4 linked regions of the Pelodiscus sinensis genome follow. The protein of the gene in region 3 interacts with the protein of the main gene of each other region in a pairwise test. Links are inferred from orthologs where the notes say so. Each region holds a gene or a part of one and is shown on either strand. Other genes may lie near its edges. The genes, in order: C8H10orf88, SRSF11, LNX2 and MYLIP.

The links.
Region 1: the proteins of LNX2 (region 3) and C8H10orf88 interact in binary tests that used the Homo sapiens proteins (3 or more experiments, as listed by UniProt). The link is inferred for Pelodiscus sinensis from reciprocal best matches to the Homo sapiens genes LNX2 and C10orf88.
Region 2: the proteins of LNX2 (region 3) and SRSF11 interact in a two-hybrid assay, tested with the Homo sapiens proteins (3 studies listed by BioGRID and IntAct). The link is inferred for Pelodiscus sinensis from reciprocal best matches to the Homo sapiens genes LNX2 and SRSF11.
Region 4: the proteins of LNX2 (region 3) and MYLIP interact in binary tests that used the Homo sapiens proteins (3 or more experiments, as listed by UniProt). The link is inferred for Pelodiscus sinensis from reciprocal best matches to the Homo sapiens genes LNX2 and MYLIP.

What each region holds. Positions count from the first base shown.
Region 1 is NC_134718.1:55,985,595-55,993,482, forward strand, and holds the start of C8H10orf88 (ATPase PAAT), read left to right. Parts: upstream 1-4,877; 5' UTR 4,878-5,032; coding exon 5,033-5,235; intron 5,236-6,324; coding exon 6,325-6,528; intron 6,529-7,372; coding exon 7,373-7,442; intron 7,443-7,888. Other genes in the region: disintegrin and metalloproteinase domain-containing protein 9-like, read right to left, coding at 35-104. UniProt on the Homo sapiens protein: ATPase that regulates mitochondrial ABC transporters ABCB7, ABCB8/MITOSUR and ABCB10. Regulates mitochondrial ferric concentration and heme biosynthesis and plays a role in the maintenance of mitochondrial homeostasis and cell survival.
Region 2 is NC_134719.1:20,888,719-20,895,753, reverse strand, and holds the start of SRSF11 (serine/arginine-rich splicing factor 11), read right to left. Parts: upstream 3,016-7,035; 5' UTR 2,712-3,015; coding exon 2,584-2,711; intron 1-2,583. UniProt on the Homo sapiens protein: May function in pre-mRNA splicing.
Region 3 is NC_134711.1:300,348,379-300,355,395, forward strand, and holds the start of LNX2 (ligand of Numb protein X 2), read left to right. Parts: upstream 1-4,014; 5' UTR 4,015-5,181; intron 5,182-5,207; exon of another isoform or gene 5,208-5,358; intron 5,359-7,017. Other genes in the region: protein POLR1D, read right to left, coding at 3,681-3,706.
Region 4 is NC_134712.1:107,408,066-107,415,841, forward strand, and holds the start of MYLIP (E3 ubiquitin-protein ligase MYLIP), read left to right. Parts: upstream 1-4,771; 5' UTR 4,772-4,875; coding exon 4,876-4,977; intron 4,978-5,583; exon of another isoform or gene 5,584-5,598; coding exon of another isoform or gene 5,599-5,604; intron 5,605-6,419; coding exon 6,420-6,610; intron 6,611-7,776. UniProt on the Homo sapiens protein: E3 ubiquitin-protein ligase that mediates ubiquitination and subsequent proteasomal degradation of myosin regulatory light chain (MRLC), LDLR, VLDLR and LRP8. Activity depends on E2 enzymes of the UBE2D family.

The sequences.
Region 1 (7,888 bases), on a different chromosome or scaffold from region 3:
ATCTTTCTGACTAAAAATTAAAACTGAAGCTCACCTGCTGTATGAACTTGCTTTCCAATAAATATTAGCCCGAAACCAAACCAAAGTAAGTTGCATTTTAACATAGTTAAGTTTATCTGAGAAAACACAACTACTAAGATGTTCAGAAACACGGTGTTACTGAGGATGGCGTTTTTACCAGCAGTTTCCCCTAAATGAAGGAACTAGAAAAACAAGAACCTTTTGTTGTCAAGGCAAACAATAAATAGCATTGAAAAAGTACTTCAGGTATGTCAGCAAACACTCCCAAAGAAGAGGGAAGTCAAATTTCTCACATTGCATTTGACAAAAACTGGTTGGACAACTTACAACAAACCCAGTATAACATGATTGTAAACGCTGATTGGAGAAGGCCAGCTGTGATTCCCTTCGTAAGGATGACAAGACGAAACTTTGAGACCAAAGTCCAGAATTCAGAGACCAGCAACAATTTACTTTCGAACGTTCACAGGAAAACAAAGCACCATATAAGCTAAGTTATAGAGTTCATATGAACCACCTTAAAAAATGCATCTTATAATAAGATTATAAGACAAATGCAGATTACTTGGGTTCAGTTTGTAATTGTTCTTTATTTTTTACTGTAAGATATTTATTTCAGAAAAATATAAAAATATTGTATCTTTGAATACACAGGTATCACAAACATTGACCAGAAATGCAACAGAATGTAATTACAATGATGCTATAGTTAACAATAAACTTTGGCATCATAAATCATATTTTGAGTCAACCGTTAACGTTCCCAAAAGCAAAATGATCTTGATGACTTTTTATATGCACATTTTAGTCCTAAGTAAAAAAAAAAAGAAAAAGTTTTTATTTCAATTTAGATGAACTGTACAAATCATTTTGGAAAATTATGCAGAACAGTCTTCTTTCCTTTCTTTACTGAGATAAAGTGGTACTTTTGTTATGCAATTTTTCTAGGAATTCTGAAATTCATTTTTTCCATATACTGATAGAGCACAGACACATTCTCTGAATACCCATGTAAACAAGGACTTCATACAAACCAGGAAGACACCTATTGCATTTGTGATTTATGAATTTGTTCTTATTAGGGGTTTTAGAGATTTTTTTCTCTTTACCGATATCTATGTTTCTTCAGCAGACGCCTTTAGTGGCAGGGTATTTTAAAGTCTCTTACAAGCTCCCACCTTTTATGCTTGAAGTGCTAGAAAGGGGAACAGCCTTAACAGCTGCTGCAGCTCTGTCCCTGCTGTGGGGCAGCAGTACCACCAGGCTGCTGAGGACCTGGCCCCACTACTACCAGCCCTGCCATGCATGGGGCTCTTAGCTGTTGGCCCTCCTTTCCTGGAGAGTCCCAGTTTAGGGTGGTGAAACCTGTAGTTGCAACGAGTTATTTCAGAAATAGTTCATAGGTTATAAATCCAATGACCATGTTCATGGTGAATCCAGGATAGGACTGGAGATCTCAGAATTTAGGGCTTAAGCTTCAAGCAGATCTGAGATCATAAGAAATCTGGATCCCAGACGTTCTTATAGTTCTTGGTCTTCTTTGACAGCTCAGAAAAACAATAGGCAATTATTGAGATTTTTAAATAGACCTGTTTCCTAAGTATCACCCATGATAGCTGTGAGAATTAACATAAGGCATTTGCCAGTTTTCCACCATTTGCTGTACATTTAAAAAAAAGATGATGAATTCAGAGATATTATTATGCTTACAGTTCACTTAAATGTTAATATTTCCTTTTGATCTCTGAACCAATAACTGTAGGGACAGACAGGAACAATCTGTTTATATGGCTAACAGATAACAAGATATAAGTACATATATACAATTAGTATCACCTCAATTCTCAAAGAATATATATTACACTTCAAAGTTCTAGCCTAATTACCAGGGGATGGACCTAATTACCATTTACACACTTTTCAAATATGTCTCTACAGATTGACTCTGGGTCATTTAGCCTGCAGGATACCTATTGTTTGTATAAAATTCATTGCAATTATATAACAGCAGTAGCAACAATAATTTGCTTTGTCAAATTACATAATGACACAATCAGAGCCTCAGGGCATGTCTACACAGCAGGGCTACTGTTGAACTAAGCAACACAACTTCAGCTACGCCAATTGTGTAGCTAAAGTTGAAATAGCTTAATTCGGCTTTTGGCGCTGTCTACACAGCAGGAAGTCAAAGGAAGAACACTCTTCCTTCAACTTCCTTTAGTCTTCATGAAATGAAGGTTACAGGAGTCAGAGTAAGAAGACCTCCGGCTCAACATTATTTTAAAATAAAGTGTAGATGTGCTTGTAGTGTAGACTTGTTCTTTGTTATTTCGGAATAACGTCAGTTTTTCCAAAATAATGCTGCTGTGTAGACACAGCCTTAGAGAGCAAAGATTTGATGCTAGGCTCCTGAAGTAGAGGGAGGTTTTAATACTGACTTCAGCTGAAGATAGAATAGTCCCTATATGAGGAAGGATCCTAAAGATAAAAAAATATATATAAGGACATATGAAAGGCCATGGTGGGTCAGACTAATGCTCCATATAACCTAGTATCCTCTCTTCCAACAGTGACCAATGCCAGATGCTTTGGATGGAAACAGCAGAACAGGCAATTATTGAGCGATCAATCCTGCCCTTGACTCCCAGGCTTAGGCCACTCAGAGCATAGGGCTGTGTCCCTGACCATTTTGGTTAATAATCACTATTACGTGCACACCCAGTAAACAACTGTAGTGTAACTAGTGTAGGGAATCCTGTGCCAAGTGAGTCTCACCAGGGACCTAGACCTTGGAGGGTCCCTGGATTCCCTCAGCTGGAGCTATGTCCACTGTGGCCTGGTGCGAGGTGACAAGGAACAGGACTTCCCGCAGACTGAAGGGGAGTAAGCATTTCTAAGTGCCTGTTGCTCGCTTATGCATTGCTCTGCCTGTGCTTATTGATGTGTCACTTTGTAGTAGCTGTGTAACCATAGGGCAACATTAACCCTGTTATAGTAGTGACATAGTGAGATTAATAAAAGCAACTATCCCTAATCGATTCTGTGTGAAGCGAATCCATATTCCTGTTTGGCCATGCCCCTGCAAGCTGACAGTCCCCAGCCCTGCCCCTTCTGTCCCAGGCCCAAACCCTTCCAGGGTGGAGCTGGCCCATGACCACATAACAAAATTCACTAAGTGCCCCCCCTCACTAAAATTATTGCCCACCTCTGGGCTAGGGACACCATCCCCGACCGTCCTAATAGTCACTGAAGAGCCTATTCTCCATGAATGTATCTAGTTCTTTTTTGAACCCTGTGATAGATTTAGCTTTCACATGCTGCTGCAAAGAGTTCCACAGGTTGATGGTTCTTTGTGTGAAACACTGCCTGCTGTTTTTTGAAAACTGTTGCCTATTAATTTTATTGGATAACCTCTAGTTCTTGTGTTATATAAAAAGGTAAATAATGCTTCCTTATATACTTTTTCCATACCAGGTATGATTTATGGATCTCTGCATATCCTCTCCCCCTCTTTTAATATCTTAATACAGCCAGTCCTCGAGTTGCGAACGGTCGACTTACGACAGTTCACAGTTACGACCAAAAGTGTCGTAAATGGCAGACCCCAAGTTATGAACACGATCCGCGCTTATGAACAGCGCGGTCACATGTAAATCAATGGGGTCCGATTTACGAACAAACCAAGTTACGACCAATTGCTTGGTCCGTAATCGGTCTGTTAGTTGGAGACAGACTGTAATCCCAATCTTTTTAATCTTTCCACCTATGTAAACTGTTCCATACCCTTAATTACTTTAGTGGCCCTTCTCTGTACCTTTTCTAATGCCAATATACCTTTTTTGAGTGAAGGCAAACAGAACTGCAGAGATATGCAAGGTATGTACAAAAATCTTTCAAGGTGCAAGGCTTAAGCATTACAATCATTATGTCCTCCCTCTTCCCAAGGTCTGTGCCTATGCCCAGTGAGGGAGCATATAGCCTCCCCCCAAAGAAAACCTGGGCTGAGGCCATGTTGTTAGTATTATGGGGACTTTCACAGAATGGAGCTCAGGGTTGTAAGGTTTCCACCCAACAGCTCTTCTGACCTAGTAATCCCAAACCCTGTATTTAAAGTCCTTCTGAACTGCATAGCCATGCAAACACTCAGCACCAATCTATTCCAGTCAGGAGGGATAGGAACTCCTCTGTCAGGCTGAGGCCCTAGGAGAGACACTTCTCCCACCCCAGTCGAGGTGTTGCTGCAGAGCCAGAAAGCAGAGTCCTCCCTTTCCATCGCATCCCCGAGACAGCCTGCACCCAACCCCCTCATCCCCAGCATCACCCCAAAGCCAACCCCCTCTTCCAGCTGGAGTCACCCTCAACCCTTTGCCCCAAACCTGAGCTCCTCGTTCCCTGACTATCTACTAGCCCACACCCACCCAACTGAAGCCCTTTCGCGGCGCCCCCCCAAAACCCTCTGCCCCAGTTGAGCCCCTTCCCCCAATCCAATCCCTGAGCTCCGCCCCAGCCACATGACTTTTGTTATGTGCACCAATAGGGAAGTGAGGAGCCACGCACCGTCTCCCTATTGGTGCACATGTCAGAATTCTTTTCCCCACAGGGAGGGGGGGGGGAAATTAGAGGATACTCTGCCCAGGAGGGTGCAGCTGCCAGCCACTCGCTACCCGCAGCTACTTCCCCCAGGGCGCTTCACACCCCACCGCCACTCACTCGCGCGCACCAGCCAGGTGCGGAAGCGAGCTCTACCGCCGCTCTGAGCACGCGCCGCTCTACTCCTACCAGCCAATCGGGAGCAGGGGGAAAGTGCGCCTGCGCCCCTGGGCTGGACGCCTTCGATGGGGAAGAACTGGAGGGTTCCGAGCCAATCAACGGCCGGGCGCGCACGCCTCATGACCGTTGAAAGGCGGGCGTTCCGGCCGGAACGGTGCCCGGCCGGGAGCATGTTCTCTGTGGAAAGCCGTTCTGCCCGGCGGCCCGCAGGGGACGGTTGGCAGCCAGCGGGGCGGTTGCGATGGCGAGCGGGAGCCTGGCGGGCGCTGAGGCAGCTGACGATGGTCTCCGCGCCGCCAATGGCCCCGTCCGCCGCTCTCGCGTGGCAGCCGGCTGCTCCTGGGAGTGCGCGTCCGCCTCGTCTCCCGAGGCGCTGGAGGACATCCTCTGCCTCCTTCCCGAGGGAGCCAGCGGCGGTGAGGCGCTGTCGCCGCCCGAAAGCGGGTAAGGGGCGCCCGGAAACGCCGCGGGACTCACAGCCTGCGAGGAAAGGAGGCTCGATCCCGGGCGAGGGCGCGAGTCTGAACCCCTCCTCCCCGCGGAGTCCCCAGTAGCCTCGTCTTGGGTGCGGTGGGCCCCGGCTGGGCCGGTTTCTGACGCCTGCCCCCTGGCTGCGGGGCGCTGCTGAGGCGGGAGGCAGACACCTGTGCGCGCAGTGAGGGGTCGCTGTGTCCCCGCAGGTGTAGCTTGGCCCCTCGCGGGGGCTGCAGCCCTTCCCTCAGCGCAAGAGGCAAATGCCTCTGCTGCTGTTTGAGTGAGCTGTCTCCTTTAATGGAAAGAGACATAACGAGACCGGATTACATGGTAATCGGAGCATGGCCTGTGTGAACTGGAGCATCAGGGGCACTGAGGAGTGGATTTCAAGGTCGGCCTGTCCCTGTGTATAACTAAATATATTGATAGCACACGTGTACTGGTCTCTTCCCCCCTCCCTCCCCCGACATTGACAACAGTATTAAGTGAGCAAAACTTTCTTTAGCTGTGGCACAGCCTTTGATTTTTCACTGCAAACTAGGTCCACAGCAAGTTTGAAGTTTGTGAAATGTGCACTGTAAACATAACACAGAGTCTGTACGTGTTGCGTGTTCTTCATCAAGGATAGGGCTTTGAAAGTAAAGTGGTAAATACTGCACTTACAAAGATATAGATTATGTAACTGCTCTTAAAAACTGAGTCACTTTACATCGGGGGTGGAACCTCAGGCCTGGGCCGGATTTGGCCCCTGACTTGACTGGTTCTGGCCTCTAAGACAGACACGCTAGCCTTCCCTCCCGCAACCCCGCCCCACCAAGGTGCTGGCCCACACGTCTACTAGGGTAGGCCTGGTAGGCTGTGGTGTGCAGGGGAATGTGGGGAGAGTCTTTCTCCTCTGTCAGGGGCCACATCAGGGAGGATTTGGTTTGGTTTTTTTAATTATTTTTCTGTGAGTCAGCAAGAAGAGTTCTAAATTAAAAACAAACGAGTGTTAGCTGGAAAGCCCAGGTTAAATAGAATGTAATTAAGTTACTTAAACATAATTTCTTCTATTTCTAGTGAGAACTCTGTGGTTTTGGAGAGACCTTTAAATGATGAAACTGAAACTCCCTGCTTACTGTATCTGCAGTGTGATCCTCATGGATCGGAGGAAATAGTCTATGTTGGAATTTTAAGTGGGGCAAGAAACATGGAAGTATATGTAGGAGAAGAATATTATGGAACTGGTAGGGGACAGAATGTCTGCACCATTCAGAATGAGAGGTAAGGGTCTTCATTTTGCTTTATTAAAACCACTTGAAAAGGAAACTATCTGGTTGGAGTGGGGGCTGGTGATGAGTTATATTGCTCTTAGACTTGATTTAAATGTAGTCTCGGAATCTTAAAGGCCAAAACCTATTATCTGTTCGGTATTCGTCTCAGTTTGAGGTTTTTAGTGGTCAGATATCCGCATCACAAAAACTACCAGTACAGTTTGTGCTACCTTAACAGTCTCAGCAGAGTCCAAGGATTGAGTGGGCATAGAAACTGCACTTCTCACTCCTCAGGTGAGCCCTGCCTGTCATTGTTGAGTCATATTATAATTAAGGCTGTCAGCTACTGTTATCAGTGAGTTAAATTATTTAACTCAGCAGTAATCTCTAAAAATCATCTAGGAACACCTTTTTAAAGTTCTTTTGTATATGACTGCAAAGAGGAATGAAAACAAATGTCAATATTCTTATTACGTAATCTACAAGAATTTGCCTATGGAGTTTGGAGGGGAAAAAATAAAAGGGGGTAAACTTTGATTGCAGTACATAAACATTTGGCCAGCTATGTTTTTGCTAACTTAAGAACCAGCTAGTCAGTTAAGCCAAAACTAGAAGAAAATCCTATTGGTACCATGTGTGGGGGGAAAAAAGGAACAATGTGTACTTGTGTGTATGTATATCATATGATTAAATCTGAACTGAATTTTAATGTTAAAACCCAACATATTCCATTGAAAGCTAATGCATTCAACTTCTTCCTCCCCCATTATCAGCGTAATAGCTATTATTTTTGTGTTCCTGTAGCTAGCATTTACCATAGACGTCACAGCTCATTTATTTTATTTTTCTAACAGAAATGATAAGATTACTTTATACAAAAAATATCTTAAATTGGAGTACTCCACCACTTCTTGCAGAATTAAGGTAGGAAATTCCAAAAAATTGTTTTAAATTGACCAATGGGTTATTTTGCATTACTGTCTGACAGTCAGAAGATGATAGCTAAGTTTTTGCTAACCTGAGATGTGGTGTGAATATTCTCTTTAAAAAGTAGGAGGATTTTGAACCAAGGTTCTCTTGTCTTAAAATGTTGTTGTTAAAGTTTGTGCAAGAGGGAGGGAAAATGCTCTTAACTCACTTTTTAATTAGAGGTATTCTAAAGGTTTAACAATTTGTGCACAATGAGAATTTTAGGTGTTGATGCTACAAACATGCACATTTGTAACTCTACGTATGTGAGTAGTCTCATTGTAATCATTTGGACTACCCACATGCATAAAGCTTAAGCATGTGCTTAAGTGTTGGCAAGATAAGAGCTTGTTTAATCTGGTTCAGTCTTTCAATATGAGTATTATTCAGAATAATTTCAG
Region 2 (7,035 bases), on a different chromosome or scaffold from region 3:
ATTTCTGAGATTGCTCTTTGAAATACCTAGAAACTACACACCAAGTTAAAAGAATACCAAGGTTACAACTTTAATTCATGCAATAAGAAATTGGGAAATGTTAGTATTAAAGTTACTTGTGTAACCGTAACTTAGCTTATTTATTTTAATTACACAACCATATCCTATTTTATCCTCAAAAGCCCTGCCTCATTCAGTGCATAGTATGGCTCTGTTCTGGTGATTAATCAGGGGTTGGAGAGAAAAGTTGGGTGTTACCAGTACTTCTATTCCTACAAACCCATCTCTCAGTCACTCTATAAAGCTGGAGTACTACAGAGAAGAGTATCCTTCATTAAAGAAGTGCTTACTTTGTGGTCTTAATGAATATTCTTTCAAAGTCTATCTGTGTGTAATGTGTAACTTAAAATCCATTTCTGGTGTGTACTCTAACAAAAATCCACCTTAAAATGGACAAAGTACCATTGAGACAGAGTGCCAAACTAAAGAGATTATACGCGTCTCCTACTGTAGTCAAGTGCAAATATATGATTTTGAAATTTTGCATTTCTTTAGTAAGAATGCATGCACCCTACCAATACTGCTCTATCCTGGGCAGATTTTTTTTTTACCTCTGATAGAGACATGATGATTCTGTTTCTCATACTTATCACAACCAATTATATAGGCTTTGACAAAGTATTCTTGTATTGAATGTGGGTGCCTGTGTTAATAAGTGGGGACGAATTAAGAACAACATAGGGGTATACAAAAAACAAGAGAGTTGTTGAACTCTCTAGCAGAAAAAGGTGAAGCTTCAGGAGTTATTTCTAGAAGCAGCTACTACCAAAAGCTATATGCATACAAGCCGTAGAAGCACTTCACTGGTATTTTAGAGACCTAGGTTAAATATATTCAATACCCAGTTCAACCAGACTTTGGGAAAGTCACTCAATCCACTCCATGCCTTAACTTCCCATCTGTAGAGGGGTGGTAACATCCACTTCATACAGATGTCGAAACATAATACAAATTAATGATTGTGAAATGCTCAAAACAATGAAGAAAACTATGTTAACAACCTAAACAGATTTCTCTTGCTAAAGACACTAGCTCCTTGTTATTTGGTGAAAATGACACTTTTCTGGCACTTTAAATAGGATTTTCCATATACAAATGAAAACATTCATGTTTTACTGTATTCCAATAATAAAAACCTATCAACTTGAATCTCTGTGCATCCACTAGTTTTCCTCTACACTACAAATTCTTATTCAAAATTGCATTGAAATGGGGTTCAGATTGCCAGTGTTCATTTGAGGATGCCAAAACCACACACACACACTAAAAAATCCTGTGTTAGAATATATACACATCTATCTAGGATACCTGGAGGATTTGTGGGGGGGAGAGAGAGATGTGGCACAAAGGAAAGTCGCTTTTGCAGTTAATTTTCTTCCCCCCCTCCCCCCCGAACAGCAACTATTTGAAAGTAGGTGAAAAAATGGGTATATTAGAAACCATCTGAGGGAGAGTAATGAGCAGGCACAGTCAAAATCTTTTTATATGAAAATAAAGGCAATCCTGCTTCACAAATAAAAAAAAGGAACAGAAACAGATGGCATGCTGTTTTCAGTTCTTGTATCACAATAAATTAAAAAACTGTAATTATTTAAAAGCTCTCTGAGCATGGATTACAATTTGTGAGTTCAGCAGATCTGATGTGCGTTAAAATAATCATTATGTATATGCATATTTTTGTTAAATATTTGTAAAAACTTATACCTTGTCATAAGCTCTATTTTTCTGTCTAGACATTTCTAAATAGTTGAAACCCTTTAAAAAAAAAACTGCAATCCATTGGAAGCAGATTGGGTGGGGGCATCATTCTCAGTAATGCAAAGCACTGTTTGCTGGTTTTAATTTTTACGAGACTTTAACCCAATAACTGGTTTAAGATTTACTGCCCACCTTGCACTTTCTGTGTGTTAGGGAGAGAAAAAAAATCAATTTGTGAAAAGGGGAAAACAAAAGCTATTTTTGTAGTAACTGCTCGTTAATGGAAACTATCCAACAGGTGAGCGGTGACTCCGTAAGAGAGCAATCCCACCACACGTAGCTCAACACCTGGAGGCTCCGGGGCAGTCGGCGATGCAAGAGGACGTGCATTTAGCCGGGATAACTGCCCATAGGCTCAGGGCCCTCCCTCACACATGCTTTGAAAATTGCTCCGGGAACGAGTGCCCGGCCGTGAGGTAACCCGGCACGTTGCGGGCCGAGGAGGAGCCATGTGAGACAGGCGGGATACGACACTTCCCCCCTCCCCCACACCGCTAACTCTCCCTTTCGGAGGTCTACACTAGCGAGGTGCTGAGGCAGGCTCTGGGGGTTATCACAGCTCCGCGGGGAAGCCCGATCCCGCCGCACCGCCGGCCGAGGCCTGAAGATGGCGAGCTAGGCCCCAGGGCCTGACACTCTCAGCGTGCCTCGGCAGACGGCAGCGAAGCGCGGGGCGGGATGGGAAAGAGGCGGGACGTTGAGTGGGGGAGGGGACGCGAGTATGGCGCGGGGGAGGAAGGGGCCCGCTCCCGCTGGCGGACTCACTCGGGAGGAAAAAGGCGCAGCTCCTCGATCTTGCCCAGGAAGCCGAAGAGTGTCCGCATCTGCTCGGAGCTGGCGCTAGGAGAGACATTGGTGACCTGGATCACGTCGGTGCCGCTGCTTGAAGACATCGCGCTGCCTCCCACTCCAGTGCTACAAACACATCAGGGAAGGGGAAGAGCGCGTTAGGAACCGGGTAGCGTTTTGCTGTGTCCCCTGCCGCTACCCGTCCGGGCACAACCACGGGCCTCGCGCACAAAACAACCGTTGTGGAGTAATAACTGCCACCAGCTGCCCGCTCCAGCAGCCTGCCCGGGCCGTAACTAGTATCCCACAATCCTTTACTGCTCTTCTCTACGCAAGCGCGATCCGCGTACTTCGATGATCTTGCGCAGACGCACAACTCGCCTCGCCCACAGACGCCCCATTTGCGCATGTCCACTGCCTGTACCTCTCCCAAGGACTTGCAGCTATTGCACATGCAGTCAACCATGTCGTGCAGCTCTCGCGCATGCGACATGTTCGCGCCATGGCTATGGAAATACCCGCGCATGTGCAGTATGGGCTGCTGCACTGGGGACTTAGCAGGAGAGGCGTCTGGGCCTGAGGGCCGTTATCCCTGTTTCCTCCTCCGGGCTCGTGACTGAATCCTCGCGGGGCGGAGAAAATTCAGGCAGAGGGGCCAGTCTGGGGCTTGCCTGCGGCTAGAGCGCTCTGAGCTGACGCCTGCCTGAGCGCCCCCTTCTAGGGGCCTAGAGCTGCAGGGCGCTTCCTCTGAATCGCCAGGGCCTGAATCTGCCAGGCGCAGAGCCGCCCCTTTCTCCAGATGGCTCTGAGGGCACCCAGGGAGCTCAGCAGCTGGCAAAGCCTGTTCCTAAGGCCAGGTCTAGGGAAGTAAGAGAGTAGTCGAGAGAACTACTCCCTCCTCTCCCGTCCCCTTGCTGCCCTCTATATCAGAGGCAGCAGGGGGACAGGAGCCGGCTGGTTTCCCCCCCCCCAGCATTGTCTCCATGGTGCTGCCCCCACGCGGAAAGGCAGCAGCCTCTGTTTGTGGCGGCTCAGGTTGGGTACAGGCAGGGACTACTGGACCCAGCAAAAGTTGAGACTGAGCAAACCTGGCTCAGTTCTAGCTTGTGCCAGTTGCAGTCCTAACCTCACTGTGGCTTTGCAATTTAAATGTTGTATGAGCTGGGCTACCTGCACGCCTGGCTCCTACTACATTTAAACTGCAGAGCTGCAGTGGGGATAGCTCCTGGACCAGTGCGAGCTGGTACAGAGTGCCTTCTCTTATCAACTAATCATGTAGCCGTTTGTATCAACTAAATGATTAGTCAGATACCTGCCTCTTAACATCTTTAGTCAATACTAGACTTGAAGGTCAGCTTAAGATACTCAACTCTAGCTGTTTAAATAATGTAGCTGGAGTCCATACTTCTTAAGCTGAGCTTGGCACTATCTTCACAGTGGGAGGTTGACAGGAACAAATGCTCCCATCGGCTTCTCTTACTCCTTGCGACTGAGGAGTACTGGTGCTGACTGAGGGCACGCTCAGCATTCAGTTTAGCAGGTCTTCACTAGACTCACTAAATTGAATGCCAGAAGATGATCTCGGGTGCGACAGTACCTGAATAACAATTTCCCATTAATTTTTCAGTTCCAGAGTAATTCCTTTCTAACATGTATGTTGAAAACAAAATAAATCTGCAACCTGATTTTGCTGTAAGTGAAGTTAATGTAACAAATAAGATTTGCCAACCCCCCCCCCCCCCCCCATATCCATTAACATCAAGGGGTTATGTTAGTAAATGCACTAGAAGCATCCAGACAGAGAAGCAGCTTCTTCAGTATAGGTTGGACCTCCCTGGTTCTGTTCCCTTGGGACCTGATCAGTTGCAAAGTAGTTGGTTGGACTAGGGGAGGTCAATCCTGGCCATCGGCCCCAGCTGCTGGCCATGTTTCCTAACCCCTTGTTGCTGGCCCCAGAGCGCTCAACAGGAGTAAGTATTACCTAGATCCTTGACAGATGTTGGCTACGTCTACATTGGCCCCTTCTCCGGAAGAGGCATGTTAATTTCAAACTTCAGTATAGGAAAATCCGCGGGGGATTTAAATAAACATGGCCGCCGCTTTTTTCCGGCTTGGGGAAAAGCTGGAAAAAAGCGTCTAGACTGGCCCGATCCTCCGGAATAAAGCCCTATTCCGGAGGATCTTATTCCTACTTTCAGGAATATTTATTTAATATGTTTATTTAAATCCCGCAGGGGATATTTAAATCCCCTGCGGATTTCCCTATTCTGAAGTTTGAAATTAACATGCCTCTTCCGGAGAAGGGGCCAATTTAGACGTAGCCGTTCTGTCTAAACTGCGCTTAAAAATCGCAAATGATGAAGATTCTACAACCTTCCTAGGGAATTTATTCCAGTGTTTAACCATCCTGACAAGAAGTTTTTCCTGCTGTCCAACCTAAACCACCCTTGCTGCAATTTTAGTCCATTGCTTCTTGTGCTGTATGCATAGTTTCAGGAATATTTTTTTCTTCCTTCTGTAACGTTCTTTTATGTATTTGAAAACTATTATGTTCCCCCTCAGTCTTCTCCAGACGAAACAAACACAGTTTTTTCCCCCATCTTCCCTAATGGGTTATGTTTTTTAGACCTTTAATCTTTTTTTGTTACTCTTTTCAGGAGTTTCTGAAATTTGTCCATATTTTCTTGAAATGTGGTGCCCGGAACTGGACACAATACTTCAGTCAGGCCTAATCAACATGGGGTAGAATTAAGAATTCTGGTATCTTCCTTACAATACTCCTCTCTAATACATCCCAGAATGCTGCTGGGTTTTTTTTGGGGGGGGGGGGGTTGCATTTTTTAGCTTGTAACGAAATGGGCTCATCGAGCCTATGAAATCTTATGCCCAAATAAATCAGAGAGACAGTTTTATGAATGGCCAGTTTTCAGAGTCATGCATGTTGCTCTCAATGAGGTACCCTTGCATTCCATGTGCTAGCCTGTAACACTCCCTTCCCATCCTTCAATACAAGCAGGGCTCGTCTACATTGGCCCCTTTTCCGGAAGGGGCATGTTAATTTCAGCCATCGTAGTAGGGAAATGCGCGGGGGATTTAAATATCCCCCGCGGCATTTAAATAAAAATGTCCGCCGCTTTTTTCCGGCTTTTAGAAAAGCCTGAAAAGAGCGTCTACACTGGCCCCGATCCTCCGGAAAAAGCGCCCTTTTCTGGAGGATCTTATTCCTACTTCAAACTTTGACAATTTGAGAGACTCGTGTGGCTGCCCTTGACTCTCCTCCCTCTACATTCTAGGCACTCTGATAGAGGATGCTATGGAACTCTGGGAGGAGGGAACATAGATCTGCAAGGCCGTAAGGGGTGCCTGTACAGGAAGGAGTCCTGGAGTGACACCATGCAGTCCATCACATTTGCCATGGATGACAGCACTCCCTCCTAGTGCTTCACTTCCCGTTTCCTGAACGCTCTCCTTGCCTGATGCTTTGTGTGCAGTTCCTCCAGCAAGCATATTCCTCCACTTGCTTATGTGCTCCTTGTCCAAGTTGTCAGATTGCATTTGCTTCCTTGAACATCTCTTCCCTAGTCTGTTTGCACCTGCACATTTGTGCCAAGCAGGCAGCTGGCAGGTCTGGGGAAATGCGCAGCTGTTAATATTGGTTCCTTTATATGTTACAAAGGAACTATTAACTCAGTTGGGATATTTAAACTGTTTGGGCATGGGTTTGCCATTTTGTTTGTGTTTAAAACAACAGGTGAACCTCCATTTTGGACAGACTTCTTCCTTGACCAGGGAACAGAATGGGAAGATATCACTAGGCAATGATAGTCCATAAATACTGGGCACTCAGGGTGCTTTGGATGCTCTTTTTCTTTTCCCTGTGACTTCACTGAGAGGTTGTGGTGAGTGCTGCCTCCCTGAGTCACAGGCCTTATAAGCAAAGTGCAGGACAATGTAGCACTTTCAAGACTAACAAGATGGTTTATTAGATGATGAGCTTTCGTGGGCCAGACCCTCTTCCTCAGATCAAATAGTGGAAGAAAATAGTCACAACCATATATACCAAAGAATACAATTAAAAAAATGAACACATATGAAAAGGACAAATCACATTTCAGAACAGGAGGGGGATGCGGAGGAGGAGGGGGAGGAAGGAAGGTAAGTGTCTGTGAATTGATGATATTAGAGGTGGGGAGAGTGGGATGTCTGTGAGCTAATGGTATTAGAGGTGATAATTGGGGAAGCTATCTTGGTAATGGGTAAGATAGTTTGAGCATTTGTTCATTCCTTCTCGGAGAGTGTCGAATTTTAACATGAATGACAGTTCAGAGGATTCCCTTTCAAGTGCAGATGTAAAAGGTCTTTGTAGCAGAATGCAGGTGGTTAAGTCATTGAGAGAGTGTCCTTTCTGGTTAAAATGGCAAGAAACTG
Region 3 (7,017 bases):
GATGTCCAGAGGAAACTGCCAGGCTCTGACTTCCAGCTGAAAAGATTTGAAATTGGGGGGGAGGGGGCAGGTTATGGGGATTCAATCAAACACTTGCCATAGGCAGTGGCAAAGATGAATGGGAAATCTTAGTTTATTTACAGCTTGAGGGTATTTATAGTCACTGCTTATTTACTGCTTTAAATCTCAGACTCTGCATGGGTCTCATGACAAGAGCTACCCAATACAGTATCCATTATTCCTGGTAAATTAAAATCTTCAGAGGGGTAGCCAAGTTCATGTTAAAGCAAGAAAAAAAAAAATACAGAACATAGAACAAAGTGAGTTAGAGCCAGGATAAAAAGAGGATAAAAGTGAATAAAACTGGTACAGTAATACGAATCAGAACACAGTACAGTGATACTCAGTAGGGATATTGCAGCTGTGGGGGTCTGAGCTCCCCATGGATAGAGGCTGCAGGCGGGAAGGGGTAGGAAACGGGGGAGGCTGTCATGAAGCAGCCTCTGCCCGCGTTGGCCAGGGCTGTAGCGGCCAGCCTGAACCACTCTGGACAGGGGCTGCTCTAGATCTAGGAAGTGTCCATAACAGACATTAAATGTACAATTTTAAGAATACACTATTTTAAGTCCAGAAGGACCATGGATGTTTCTGGACCAGGGAGCCCCAGAGGCCAGGAGCACAAGCCCAGCTGGGAGTCCAGGGGAGTTCTGGGGAGCCCTGGTCCTGCGGTAGGTGGGGAGTCCAGCCCTGGGGAGCCCCAGTGGTGGCTGGGAGGAATCCCTGGCCCTAGCTGGGAGCCCCAGCACCAGCAAAGCTGGCGCTGGCCAGGGGGAATCCCCAGCTAGGGGGAATCCCCAGCCAGGAACCTCTGTGGCAGCAGAGCTGGTGCTAGCTGGGAGGAATCCCAAGCCAGGAATCCTGGTGGCAGTGGTGCCAGCAGCGGCCGGGGAGAATCCCTGGCCTTGGCTGGGAACCCCAATAGAAGTATGACTGGCGGCAGCTGGAGAGCCACAGCCTGAGGAGGTTGACCCCAGGAGCTACAGCAGGGGGCCAGCAATTGGGAAGGAAGCCCAGGCTGCAGGGACCCCACAACCCAGAGAGGAGCCTTGGCCTCTCCTGGTCTGGCAAACTCCCTGGTTCAGGACCACTCAGGTCCTGAGAGTGCCGGACAATGGAAGTCCAACCTGTACCTAAAAACAGCTCAAATAAATATTTTAAAAACTCTCTACAAATCCCTAAAATAGCTTTTCTGTAACTGAGGCACATGTAGAAGTTATGATGGTCTAGTTTAGATTTACTACAGCAATTAATGTGGTCACTACATTTTTCCAATAAAATCTTGACACAACGACATATGCTTATTTAGTCTGATATTTCAGACGTGCCATACTAGCTGTTTTTTTAACATCATAGGGGACAAGTGTTTTACTGAAGAATTATGGAGATAAATAGATCATTACATTCTCTTAGGCCCAATTATCACTTCACTTCAGCCAACACAATATTATCTTTGTCTCATCTACGCTATCAGTTGGAGGCAGAAAGGGGAGGCAACAAGTTATTTTTGTAAATGAAACCACAGAGTTAGGACTTTCTAACTGGGTGAGAGATACACTGGAAAAGCAGTGAGAGAAGCTTTCATTGCCGCTATCATTGTTAGACATATTGCTAACAGGTAATCTCACATGAGAATCTGTTACACATGGGTTAGTTGTAGTGTTGACAAGTCATACTGCAGAACTGTTATTTCAGTCATTACTCTCATACAATTCCACAACAAACACCAACAAGATTTACCAATAACGTAAGTGCTTCTGGTCCATTTCCAAACCAGAAAGTAAAACACAGGTCTGTTATGTCTGAATAATCAACTAAATGAACCTGGATTTAAACTGAAAGTTTTTCCTTTTCTTATACCCAAAAGAAAACAATGTAGCACTTGAGGTTTCATCACCTATTAAACCATCTTGTTAGTCTTTAAAGTGCTACATAGTTTTTCCTTTTGTTTTAGCAAGATCAGACTAACACAGCTACCTCTCTATTACTATTCTTTTGGGTATGACATGGGTCAATTTGCGTAGCAGAATGAATGATCTCATTCCAACAGAATGCAAAGTGTCTGTCATTTTATTCTCCCTGAAAGTTGTTACTGTCAATGTAAACACAAGTTTACTATAATAATTACAGTCAGAGATTAGGCTTTGTTTCAATTAACAAAACAGGGCTTATTAATTTTGCAACTTCCACAGTTATCTGGCTGCAGCCGTAACAGGTACTGGCATGCAACCCAAGTTTATTAAAGTGAAAATAGAAAATCGCCTGTTTTTCTTCATTTAATAAGGGTGGGGGGTAATTTAATTTATACAAGTATGCCTTTCCTTAACAAAATAAGGTTTGAAAAAAGTTGAGTTTTTATTTTATTCTGAAGACACCGAGGTTCAGTCTTCCCAGAAGCAAATTCCACAGTCATGGGCCAGGTTTCCAACGAGTCTTCTGAGCGCACTAGTCTCACTTCTAACGTTGGCAATTATATTGTTCCAGGAGATCATAATCAAATCATGGGATTCAGTGAGGCAATGAAGTAATTTGAGCCAATCCTATAGAGGATTTCAGAATTCAACTGGAAGTCAGCAGTATCTTCACTACACCTATTTTTTCTCACCAATAATCTGAGTTCCCTGTGATAAGATACTCTTCTGATTACATCCACTTGGGAATCAGATTACTGTCTTGGGACAGGGGAATGATATTGCAACAGGTAGAGGAAGGGCTCCTATAACTGGAACAGCAGCCTCTGCAATCCTAGAATACTTGCAGTACATGGAATGAGCTAGTCTTAATTTTTTTTTTTTTTTTTGGTAATATACATTGTATGGTTCAACACCAATCTAAGACAGGTAAAAGTAAAATATATTTGATGTAATAGGAATAGAAAACCAATTCTATTTCTCAAACTGAAGTCAAAGGTCTCCTGTGTGTAAGTCTGTGTACTGTAAACTGGGAACCCTGTTCTCCCAAATATTCCAAACCATGATGTCTTGATGTTTAGGTAAGTGAAACCAGAAGCATCCACTTAAATGAAGCCACCCCTTTTTTAAATAAACTTTTATTATATGGCATGTAATGTTATAAAGTGGAAAATTTAAACACTTTCATCAGCACCAATGAACAACAAACAGACAATAAACAATGAACAGACAATAGGATCCACTTCTCTTGTAAAGGCTCTCTAATGGTCCCGAAGCACTACAAATATTACCTGTTGAAGCAGATAATTTATATCATGCCCCACAACAGATCCAGCAGACGGGCTCTAAATCAGGAAGATTAGCTTGGCCTCTGCCAGTCTAAGGAGGGAACCGACATAACTAATGGGCCTCTTACTGAGTCCAGCACTAGCCCTTCCTGGGGCTGCGTCCCCCAGAGGCCTGGCACAAGAGTGATCATCCCACCAGGGAGTTGTCAAGGGGCGCGTACAGAAGTAAACTTTCAAAACTGAAGAGGGATCTGCCTAGATAAGGCGCCCCCCACCCTTCTAACTCTTCATCCCTGCATTGACCTCTGCCCCCATCTCCCGGTGCTGAAGTGGGCCGGGGAAGGGAACAACTGCGCCAGGCAGGCGCGGCAGCTCACAGCGGGCCCTGTCTCGGTGCCCGGGAACACGCGCCCCGGCCTCTCACCTCTCCAGCTCCAGGTCCTCTTCCATGGCGGCGGCAGGAAGAAGGGCGATGCGACGCCGCCCCCGCTAGGCCACCGACACCGGCGCAGTAGTAGCTCAGGTGCAGGCCCGACCCGTTTACTGCTCGCGGCTGAGGACAGGGAGGAGCGAGGGGCGGAGCTGCGGGGCGAGCGCTGCGAGGACCCCGGGAGGGGCGGAGCAAGCCGGAGCTAGAAAGGAAGCGGGCGGCGCGTACTCTTAAGTGCTGCCGCCGCCTCACCCTCCCTGCCCTAGCGGTGCCCGGAACCTCCGCTCCTACAGGAGCGGGCAGCGATTTCGTGTCCCACCCACCCTCCGCCAGACCTAGCTCCTGGTGCTGCCCCAGGTGCTGGAAGTGGGTGCTCGGGTCCCCCGTGGCCTCGCCGACCCCAGTTCTTCCCACTGGGGAGGCGTGAGGAGGCCGCGCTACGCCGGGTGCCCATTGGCTCTGCCCACCCCCTTTGGTGTGTGTTGGTTCCCCTCTGGAGATGTGGAGTAGGCTGGGGATTGCTGCGTGTTTAGGCTCTTCCGCTCCAAACACCGGCGCAGAGGGGTTTGCTGAGTTATGTGTCCCAGAGCGAAATCCCAACAGTTAACTCAAAACCTCCATCCCCAGAGCAGGCGCCTCTCTCTTGCCCCCCAGTCTGTGCACAGTGATGCTACAGAGGCTGCCAGCTGATCACGCGGGTATCCCCACGGGGGGCGGCAGCAGGCTGGTGAGTGGGATTGCAGTGACTCACTTGCCACTGACCAAGCAGTGAGAATGCACCCGATGCATAAACACGATGCAACCGCCGGGCTGTAAAGGGGAATTGCAACTGCGGCTTCGCCTGGCATGTAACCCAGCACACAGGGGCGCCCTGCGAAGAAAGCTAAGCGTAGTTCCCAGCAGCGAGGCCTGTAGCTAGTCGCAGCTCTCTGGGGTAAGGTAGGATGGGGCGACTGCAAAGAGAAACAAGCCCTCCCTTTCAGGTATCTAGCGCTCCTGCTTGTCCTTTCGCTCTCCCCCCTCACTCAGTCCTCTCCCATGCGCTACCTCCCGTTATCAAGCGACCCGCCTCTACGTCTCTCCTGCCCTCACACTCCTTTGCCCCGCTGCCCCAGGGCGCGCCTGCTGGAATCAGGCGAGCGGCGGGGACAGCCCAGCGCCCGACCGTCGTCGCCGGGTCCCGCCCCGGCCCAGCTCCCATAGGCTGCGGTGCTTCCTCCGCTCCCCCTCCCCGGCCCCCGGCTGGCGGCTGAGTGGCTGGGCCGCGCCGTCACTCGGGCCGCGGTGCGGCCCGGCGGAGGAGGCGGCCCGCCCAGGTGAGGCGCGCGGCGAAGTCCTTGCCCGGAGTTGGCCGTTTGACTCTTGCCAGGAGCTCGGCGGTGACAGCGGGAGGCGGAGCTGCCGGGCGGGGGCAGGGAGCCAGCCCCCGGCCGCGGGATGAGCTGGACCCGGGCGCCGTGCTGAGCCGGGGCTGGAGGCGGCGGCAGCCGGTGGGGTGAGTAAGTTCGCTGCTAGGCGCCGCCGTTCCCGGTGGTTCGCCAGGCGCCCCGCTTCTTCTCTGCGGGCTGGCTGGTGCCGACACCTCCACCCCCGTGTGCTCGTGTTAACTGGCAGCTACGCTAGGCTCACCTCAGACCGGGGGAGTAACAGGCTGAGCTCAGGACAACAGAAAGTGAGTGTCCCTCAGATCGGAAGGCAGGGAAACAGTCTCTTCCCCAGCTCTGTTTCGTAAGGGGCTGTGTGCGAGGGAGGGTCCTCGCCCCTCTCTCGGGTACAGGGGACGTTTGGGGGGGGGAGAATGTGTGGAAGGATTGTTGATGATGATGATGATGATGACTACTCTCTCCTCTACGTGGGTACAATTCTCCCAGTCCCCACTCAGTGGCAGATGGGAGGAGGGTGTTGATAGTAATAGCTCCTCACCCATCTCCCATTGTGTTTCCCCTCTCCCTGGAAAACCATTGTGTGTGTATGTATGTATGTATGTTATAGTAGTAGTGCCCTAAGGTTCTAGTCAGGTTTAGGGCCGCATTGTGCAAACACATAAAATGATACAGTACCTGAAATCTGATTTGTTTGGGTGTACTCCTGTCCCCACATAGTACTGTACTAAAAGTACATGCATTTATAGAGGCTAATAATAGGCATACCTGAGAAGTTCTGAATTAGTTTAAAGTTTTCTTCTTTATTTATGTAAAGAAAAGTATCCACAATCTACATTAGTTCTCAATTGAATTAAAGATTGGGTGTGGAAAAATAGTGATTTTTTCCCCCTGCTACTCCCCATAGTTGTCTCAGCCCATTCTCCATGTTAGAAACTAGTAGGTTGGGTGAGTCTGTCCCTTACTGGGAGACAAACTGGGTGAGAAAATACCTTTTATTGGACCAACTGCTGTTGGTGAGAAACTAGAGACAAGCTTCAAGCTTACACAGAGCTCTTTTTTAGGTCTGGGATATTTACTCAGAGTGTTAAGATATGTTTATGGTGATTTTCCTTTGTGTTTCTTCAAATTATGACAGACTGCATATCCCATCACTCTCACTGGGAGATGGTGAATTCCCCCATGTTTCATACCTTTCACAGTGAGAAGATTTAGCTAAATCCTGCATTGCAAGCAGAGGCTGCCTAAATATGTCTGTTGCCCATCAGCTTGACTATGTACACATTCAAATTTTTATTTGAATATAAATAATCCATTATTACCTTTGGGGAAATCAAAACAAAAGCAATAAAACCTACATATTCTGAGGCTAGAAAGAAGCAAAGACAGTGTCATCATTGCAAATGCATAATGAAAGAAGGGAGGTTACCTTGCCTCCTGTTCTTGGCTGTTGCCATTTCTTATGCTGTAGAGAAGTGAGTTTTCTTCCTAGTGCTCCCCTGCAGTACTGAACACACCGAAAGAGGGAAAAAATTGATATTTTCTGTATGAAAGTGCACACTAGGTGTCTTCCAAGAACTACAACAATTCTCTTATCAAACCTGAATTGTCATTATGTGCTAAAGACTGTACTTAACCCTAAATTACACGTGCTAAAACTGATGTGTTTTTTGCTTATGTGCAGAAGCAGAGGTGATGTGTGGGAAGGCACTAGGGGGCATCTGCCCCCCAAATGCCATGGGTGGGACGGGCAGGGGGCCAGATAGCAGCCAGTGGGGCCAGAATCCCTAGGCATCCTTCACCAGCAGAGTGATGGGGCAAGGGGAGCAGAGTGAGCTGGGGCCACATTGCTCCACTTCCTCCACTGCTGTTGAGTGCATGGGGGCCTTTCCCTGGTTCTACACCAGGCTGCATCGGTTGGGGGAAGAGGCAGGGCAAGGTATGAAGGG
Region 4 (7,776 bases), on a different chromosome or scaffold from region 3:
ACCTGCCATGAGGGCGGGGGACCGGACTTGATGACCTCTTGAGGTCTCTTCCAGTTCTATTTTATTCTATTCTATTATTCTAAAAGTGGAGTAAAATGCACTTATATACTCTAATCTCTTTATTAGATGCTATTTGTAATAATAGTGCATTAAAAAGAGGATGCTAATTGTGTTCCTTTAAAATTTAAGAAATACAGTACAAGTAATTATAAAATTAATATTGGATAGCTGACCACACAAACATCACAGATATTTTGTGATATGGGAGAAAACTGATCATCTCCGATCTATCTCATTTACTGTGTAAATGTCAAATATTAAATGTGTCGTCAGAATCAGGTCTGTTGTTCAATACATATTGGTCAGCCATGATCATAGAAAGTTTTTAATAGTCAACTGCTTGTATTGTGCATCCTATTTTTATTATTTTTTCAACTTAATGCCCTTTGTTCCTGGTTTTTCTAAATGGTATTTTTAGTTTCCCAGGAAGATGAAGGTAAATGCTGTGATATGTCTAAAAATAAATTTTGGTGTGCTTAAGTATCAAAATACCAGTAGTCATGGCTTGAGGATTAGAGATTTGACTTATCAAATGATGTTAAACTTACATTAGTGAGGGCTAACATTAAGAAAGATTTTTGTCATCTGGATAATAATGGCTGCTAAGATGAAATCCAAAAGCATTAGCTCAGCATTTCTAGAGCATGAAAGAACATTTTAAAGACATGAAAATAATCAATGATTATTCTATTTTGAGAACACTAAGGAATGTGAAATGCTCAGAAATTAAATTGGTGACCTGGAAAACAAGCTCAGATTAAAAGGTGGCATGCTTTTCAGAATTCCTGAAGATGCAGCAGCAAGAGGAGAACATGTTTTTCTGCAAGGAACTTTAAAAAGGTGAAGATGACATAAGAGGAGCAGATTCTACATGCAGAAATAGACTGTATATCACATCATCTGCAAGAATTTTGCAGTAATCAATTCTGGTACAGGCATGTACACCTCTCTCCTACGAGGTGTAGCTGAATTCTGCATCTACCTTGCTCAGTATATGGGTAAAATAACTAGAAAAGATCGTGAAATGAAATGTATTTCAATGCTGTTAGGGTAGAAATTACACCCATTTAAAGAAATACTTGGGTATTTTTTACACAATGCTTGATTAACCTATGCATCCTATTGCTATATGATATTACTGAGGCTAAAAGCTTAACATGATTAAGAAAAGGCTTAGAAAGGATTAGAAATTAATGTATTAGAGCTGTTAGGTACATAAAATAGAGTACAAAGAAAGGGAGGGGAAAAAAACTAAGGGATATAAATATTGACAAAAATTGTCAGCTGTTTGGAGCAAGTATCTTTTTGTTGTTGTTTTTTCTGTATGTGTACAGTATCTACCACATGTACCCTTGATATCAGTCTTGAATCTCCATGTGTAATCATAATACAAATAGTAATAAATGTTCATGCTTCAGATATAAATACATCCCTTCCAAATTCTTGGTTCATTTCGGTCAATTTCACTGTTGTAGGATTTTTTTAAATAATATATTTCATTATTGCAGCTATTTAAATATAAAATTTCACTGTGTTGTAATTGAAGAAGTTGTGACCCAAAAAAGAGTTGTGTGACAAGTAAGGTTGACAATTTTCTAATTGCACTGAATGTCTCTACCCCATCGCTTCTCCAAGCCCCTACTCATTGACTCTGCCCCTTCTCTTTATTGTTCTCTCTCTCCAACCCTCACTCATTTTCACAAGGCTGGGGTATGGGGTTGAGAGGTGGGGGATGTGAGTGCTCCACTTGGGAGTCGGTCGCTAAAGTGGGGCTGAGGATATTGAATTTGGTTTGCAGGAGGAGGCTCAGCATTGCGGCAGGGGCATGCAGGGTGCATATGGGGTCTGAACTCTGGGAGGGAGTTGGGGTGTGAGAGAGGATTCCAGGCTGGGGCAGGGCTGGGGTTCAGCAGGGGATTCAGGGTGCAGGCAGTACTTACCATGGTTCCCAGGAAGCAGTCACTAGGTCTCCGCAGCCCCTAGGTACATGGGGGCCAGGGAGGTTCTGTGTACTGTCCCTTGTGCCCACAAGTACCACTCCCCCAGCTCCCATTTGTCACAATTACCAGTCAATGGGAACTGTGGAGCCAGCACTCGGGGTAGGGGCAGTGTGCAAAGCCTCCCTGACTTCCCAGGCACCTAGGGGCTCCAGGGATCAGGCACTCGCTTCCAAGACCTGTAGAGAGTCAGGGCAGGTAGGGAGCAAAACTCCTCCTATAGATTTTTACAAAATGAATCCTGGAACTAACATGTAGTTTGCAAGCCTGTTCACTCCGTTTGCATTTTGTAGTCCTTTCCCTCGTCCTACATATGTCTTATATATTTAAACATTTCAAGGCAGGCAGGGATTGTGTATTACTCTGTGCAGTGGTCAATGGGGACCTGTTCTAGGATAGCTTCCAAGAATTACTGTAATACAAATTAATAATAATGGTCAGACTCTATACTGATGGATGGAGAACAAATACTCGGATAGACAGAAGCAGATGAGCCATGAAGATTAAACTGCAGCAAGAACATTAATGTCCATCCATGTGGTGACATTCCACCAGTTAGTTTCTTCTTTTTCCTTTTAACCTGAGGAATTTTTTCCAGAATCCCATTTTTCCTCTCTCAACTTTTACTCTTATCAGTCTGCCTATTCCTGTTCACTATGTGCTGCCTATTATTCACCTGCAGCACATCTATGTTATATGGAAGCTCGGTGCTCCAGAGGTTGATTTTCGGATGTCCGATGTAGCAGATCAAGTATGGACCCATACATTGAACGCTGAGAGCAGCTCCAGCTGACATCTGGTAGTCTCCTTTTGTGATGAGTAAGGGAAGTAGATGGGAGAGTTTACTCCCATCAGCCTCCCGTTGTGTGGATGGTTCAGAAATGCGATATAAGATACGTCGACTCCAGCTATCTAATTAACACAGCTGGAGTTGCATATCTCATTTCAACCTTCCGCTTTAGTATAGACCAAGCCCTGGAGTGCTACCTCTTTCTGGGGCCTCCCCTGTCTGCTGATATGTTCCTTACTTTCATACTGGTTTATACTACTCCCTACATAAGTGAAAGTAGCTAGAGACTATTTTATTTCATACATGTTCTGTGCCTTTCTCATACTTCTAGGTAATTATCCAATGTAGGTGTTTTTCCTCTGGCTAGCTCACACTATTACAATAGTTCATATTTCCTGAGTTCCAGGAGGAGACCAGCCCACCTTCCTTTCTGCCCTGATGCAGCAATACAGTGCATGGAGGTTGGTGAACTTTAGTCTGTGACCACTTTTGCACACAGTTGCTCCATCTCCTGTGCCATGTTCTCAGTACAACAGATGGGATAATCAGGAACAAAGGTGGAAATAGGAGATAACAGTGTTAATCTTAATATTGGTATCTCAAATTATTTTCTATTCACAGCATGAGTTGAGTCAGCTAAGCCTAGAAATAAGATATTAAAATGCATGTTATAATTGTATATTGTACTCTGAAATGAATAATTCTGAGACCGTCCTTACTGTTGGCTTTTGCCTCAACTCCTCAATCATAGGAGGAGTAAGAGGGAACAATTGTACCAAGGCCTCAAGCTCAGGAGTCCAAGTGAGAGCATCTGTGTAAATGAAGCAAAATGAGAGGGAATGGGGCAACAGCAAACATGATGCACTACTGTCCAAAATTTCTGTTGCTGGGCCTGCCACTACATCCAGCCTGGTCACTTTGCACAGCATGAATGTTGCCAGACGCCTGTCAGTGCAGCCACATCTCCAGACCCACTGGCTACATCTAGACTGGCATGATTTTCCGCAAATGCTTTTAACGGAAAAGTTTTTTTGCTTTTGCGGAAAAGCGTCCGTGCCAATCTAGACGCGGTGTTGCGCAAGAAAGCCCCATCGCCATTTTCGCAATCGGGGTTTTTTTGCGCCAACAATACTGCGTTGTCTACACTGGCCCTTTTGCGCAAAAGCATTTGCGCAAGAGAGCTTTTGCCCGAACGGGAGCAACATAGCATTTCCGCAAGATCACTGACAATCTTACATGAGATCGTCAGTGTTCTTGCCGAAATTCAAGCGGCCAGTGTCAGTGCCAGTCTAGACACAGCCATCAGCAGAGATTCTCAATTCTATAGCAGATTTTGAGTTAATTTGGGGAAATTCCTGTTTAGTCCAGAATGGAAGTGTCACAAAGGCTGTTATTCATGAACAGCTATTCCAGAGCATCACCTGGGGGGAAGACAAGCTTTTAGGTGATGTCTACATTAAGACCTCTGTGCCAGCACAGCTGTCAGCACAGCCAGGTAGGCTGCCACACGGGCGTTTTCTGTCGGCTAGGAAGGCCACCACGCTGAGCAATATTTGCTCTGGCGTCTGCCGCTCGCATCCACTGAGCCAGCTGCTCCCTGCTAGAAGAGATGTAGGGCAGCCTGGCTCTGTGCATCCTCACCTTCAGCGCCTGTCTTTGGTGGGCCCGGGCAGCCCCTCCCCACGTAGAGCGCAGCACCCCTCCCCCCCGTGCTTCTCGCCGTGACCCAGCAGGGGGAGGCAGAGAGCAGCAATAACAAACCGGGGCTCCCCTGCCACCGCGGCCGCAAGAGAACCTCACTCTGATTGGCGACGGCGGCTGTTTGTCGCGAGCAGCGGCGCGTTGCGATTGGCTGGCTGTTGCCGGCCGGGTGCGGAGGCGGGGAGACGGAGGGGATATATGGGGGTGCGAGCGGCCGCCGGCCGGAGCGCAGCAGGCACTGGAGAGGGGGCGGCGGCAGCGGCGGCGGCGGCTAGACGATCACGAGTGGCCCGGGGGCCGCAGCGGGCGGGGTGCGCGAGGCGGTGGATGCCTGCCCTAGCCATGCTGTGCTATGTGACCAGGCCGGACGCGGTGGTGATGGAGGTGGAGGTGGAGGCCAAAGCCAACGGCGAGGACTGTCTCAACCAGGTGAGGCGCCGCCCCGGGAATACCGCCGCCGCGCGCGCGCGCCTCCCCGACGGCCGTTGAAGCCGGGTCCGTTGCAGAGAAGGCGACCGGCGGCCCCTCCCCTTCGCGAAACGGCGGGTGGGGGGCGGGCGAGGCTGCCTCGCGCGCCCTTAACTAACGTTCCCTCGCGCGCCCGCAGCCCTCCGCAGGGCGGCCCCCGCGCGCGCGGTGTCTGTGTCGGGCGGGGGGGGAGCGGGGTCAGTCACCCAGCTCCTCCGCCTTGGCCGCAGAGGCTGCTCGCTCTCCCCCGCGGACGGACCCCGCGGGCTGGGGAGAGGCCCCAGCGCCCCCTTCCCCAGGCGGAGGGGTGAAGTGCCGGGGCCCTGCGGGGCGGGGGCAGGATCCAGGCTTCTGCCACCCCGCCCCCCGCTCCCCTTCCCCTCCCCCCGCTCCCCTCCTGGCACCCCAACCCGTCGCCTAAATATTAGACACGTGGCCCGGAGAGGCGTCCTGCGCCCCCCCCCCCCCTGAACTGGCCGACTGCTCTGCTGACTCCGTGTGGGCCCAGTCGGGCCTGGCTCCCTCCACCTAAGCAAGTTTTCAGAGGCGCCCTTGGTTTCCTGGGTGGAGAGGGGGCTGCTGATGCACGTGAGAAACGCTGTGCTGGGTCAGACCTATGGGCCACCGAGCCCCATATCCTGTTTTCAGGCAGTGACCAGTTGCCAGGTGCTACAGAGGGAATGGACAGGGCAGTAGTTAAAAGTTCCCTGCCATCCAGTTGTAGCATCTGGCAGTCAAGGGCTGCTAGGGGACACCTGGTCTCTGATGGAGTTGTATCTCTGACTCCTTTGGAAAATAGCCACATTAATAGAGCAATCTGTGGTGAACTTGCCTTTTTTTGTTGTTGAACCCGGTTGGCCTTCACACCATTCCTTGGCAGTGATTTTCACAAGTTGATTATGCCTTGTGTGAGGAAATACTTTCTCTTTGTTTTTAAAGCAGCTACCTTTTAGTTTTGTTGGGTAACCTCTGCTGCTTGGGTTGGGTAAATAACACTTCTGTACTTCACCTCACCAATCGTGATTTTATAGATCTGTCATCTCACTGCTTAAACATCTGTTTTCTAAATTCAGCATCATGGAGAATCAGGTCACTCTTGCTTAGGTGCCCAAGTTTGGTGGGGAGGGGGAACAGTGATAACTCTGATGCCTCCTTTTTGTATTGTCATTTCATATACATGTCTGTAGGTTGCCAGCTGGTCAGCTTCTTGAATATTTTGCTTAGTTTTGATGATTTCTTACTGGCAAGTGAATCAGTAAGATGAGTTTATTATTAGAGTGTTTGGGTTTTGTAGCAGGTGTACTGAGCAGTTTTTAAAAAGTTACTCTCCTGTGTTTGGGTGATGGTTTTGGCATTATGTATGTTATAGATCCACTTTTACAATACTTCCATTTTTGTTACAGGTTTGCAGGAGGTTGGGGATTATAGAAGTGGATTACTTTGGGCTTCAGTTCGCAGGCAGTAAAGGGGAGAGTTTATGGCTGAATTTGAGAAATAGGATCTCCCAGCAGATGGATGGATTAGCTCCTTACCGGTTGAAACTGCGTGTCAAGTTTTTTGTAGAACCACATCTTATCTTGCAAGAACAGACAAGGTAAGATTAGTTTTGAGTGAATTTCATTTTACGTTTTCATGGTCTGTAATTTAATACTGTAAGGTAGCTGTATGTTGTCTCTACCAATCATTTAGTACTTTTTATATCCAGCTTTCTTGCTTTTCAGCTGTATAGTTAGCTTGCTGTGAAAATGGTAACATCATTTTAAACAGTTCTCACTCTCTTTTGGAGATTGAAGAAGAATAGTGCTACTCTAACTTACTCATAATATGAGAGCTCAGAACAGCATAATTAATTCCATACATATTTAATGCTACAAGTGAAAGAGAAAATACAAGAGCTAGCATGTGATATTTATATTGAGTTACATGCCCGATAGTAACCTCTCTCTTCAGCGTGTTACTGCAGGTCATTCTCAACTGCTTATGCAGGAAGTGTTTTCTACCACAATGCTTAAACTTGCTAAACTCCTCTTAGTCTAGTGTCAGGTTACAGCAATTTCCAGCAGCTATATATTCTCTCTTAAGCTACAAAAGGAACAACTGTTTTGTCTCTTCTGTAAAAGACCTACTAACCAAGCACAATAACTAAATTGATGATAAGTTTTAGAAAAATGCATAATTACCAATTTTTTGAGTTTCAAACTCCAGCAACAAATAGTAATGAACCCCTTATTGATTTTAATTTGCACTAGAAAATGTCTCACACATCTTCAGTGGATAAGTCAATAATTTTCTTCCTTTTGAACTAGTAATCTAAAACATTTGTATATACCAGTCAGCTATATAGGTTCTGGTGTTAGATGGGGATCATTAACTGGTGAAATCTGTCTGAAAACAAATACAAAATTATGATATTCCATTACCTTAATGTGTTCAAATTTATTGTGACCACACACATCCCAGGATTGTCAGGTATTTCATTCTTCATTTTACTAGCTAATTAATTTGTGCTTTGTGGTTAACATTCTGATCCGAATGCTTATTACATAGCAGAATCACATATTTAGCATGTACTTTTTAAACTCCTTATGATGTATGAAGATGTGACTTCTTTGTTGTTGTTTTTAAAAAAATGTGCTTTGTGATAGAATTTCAGATTCTTTCTGCCTTGGAGATTTTTAGCCATTCAGAGAGATTTAGTGAAACTGCCTTTGCACAGCAGTGCAAATACTACTTATAGGTTGAACCTCTCTAGTCTGCACT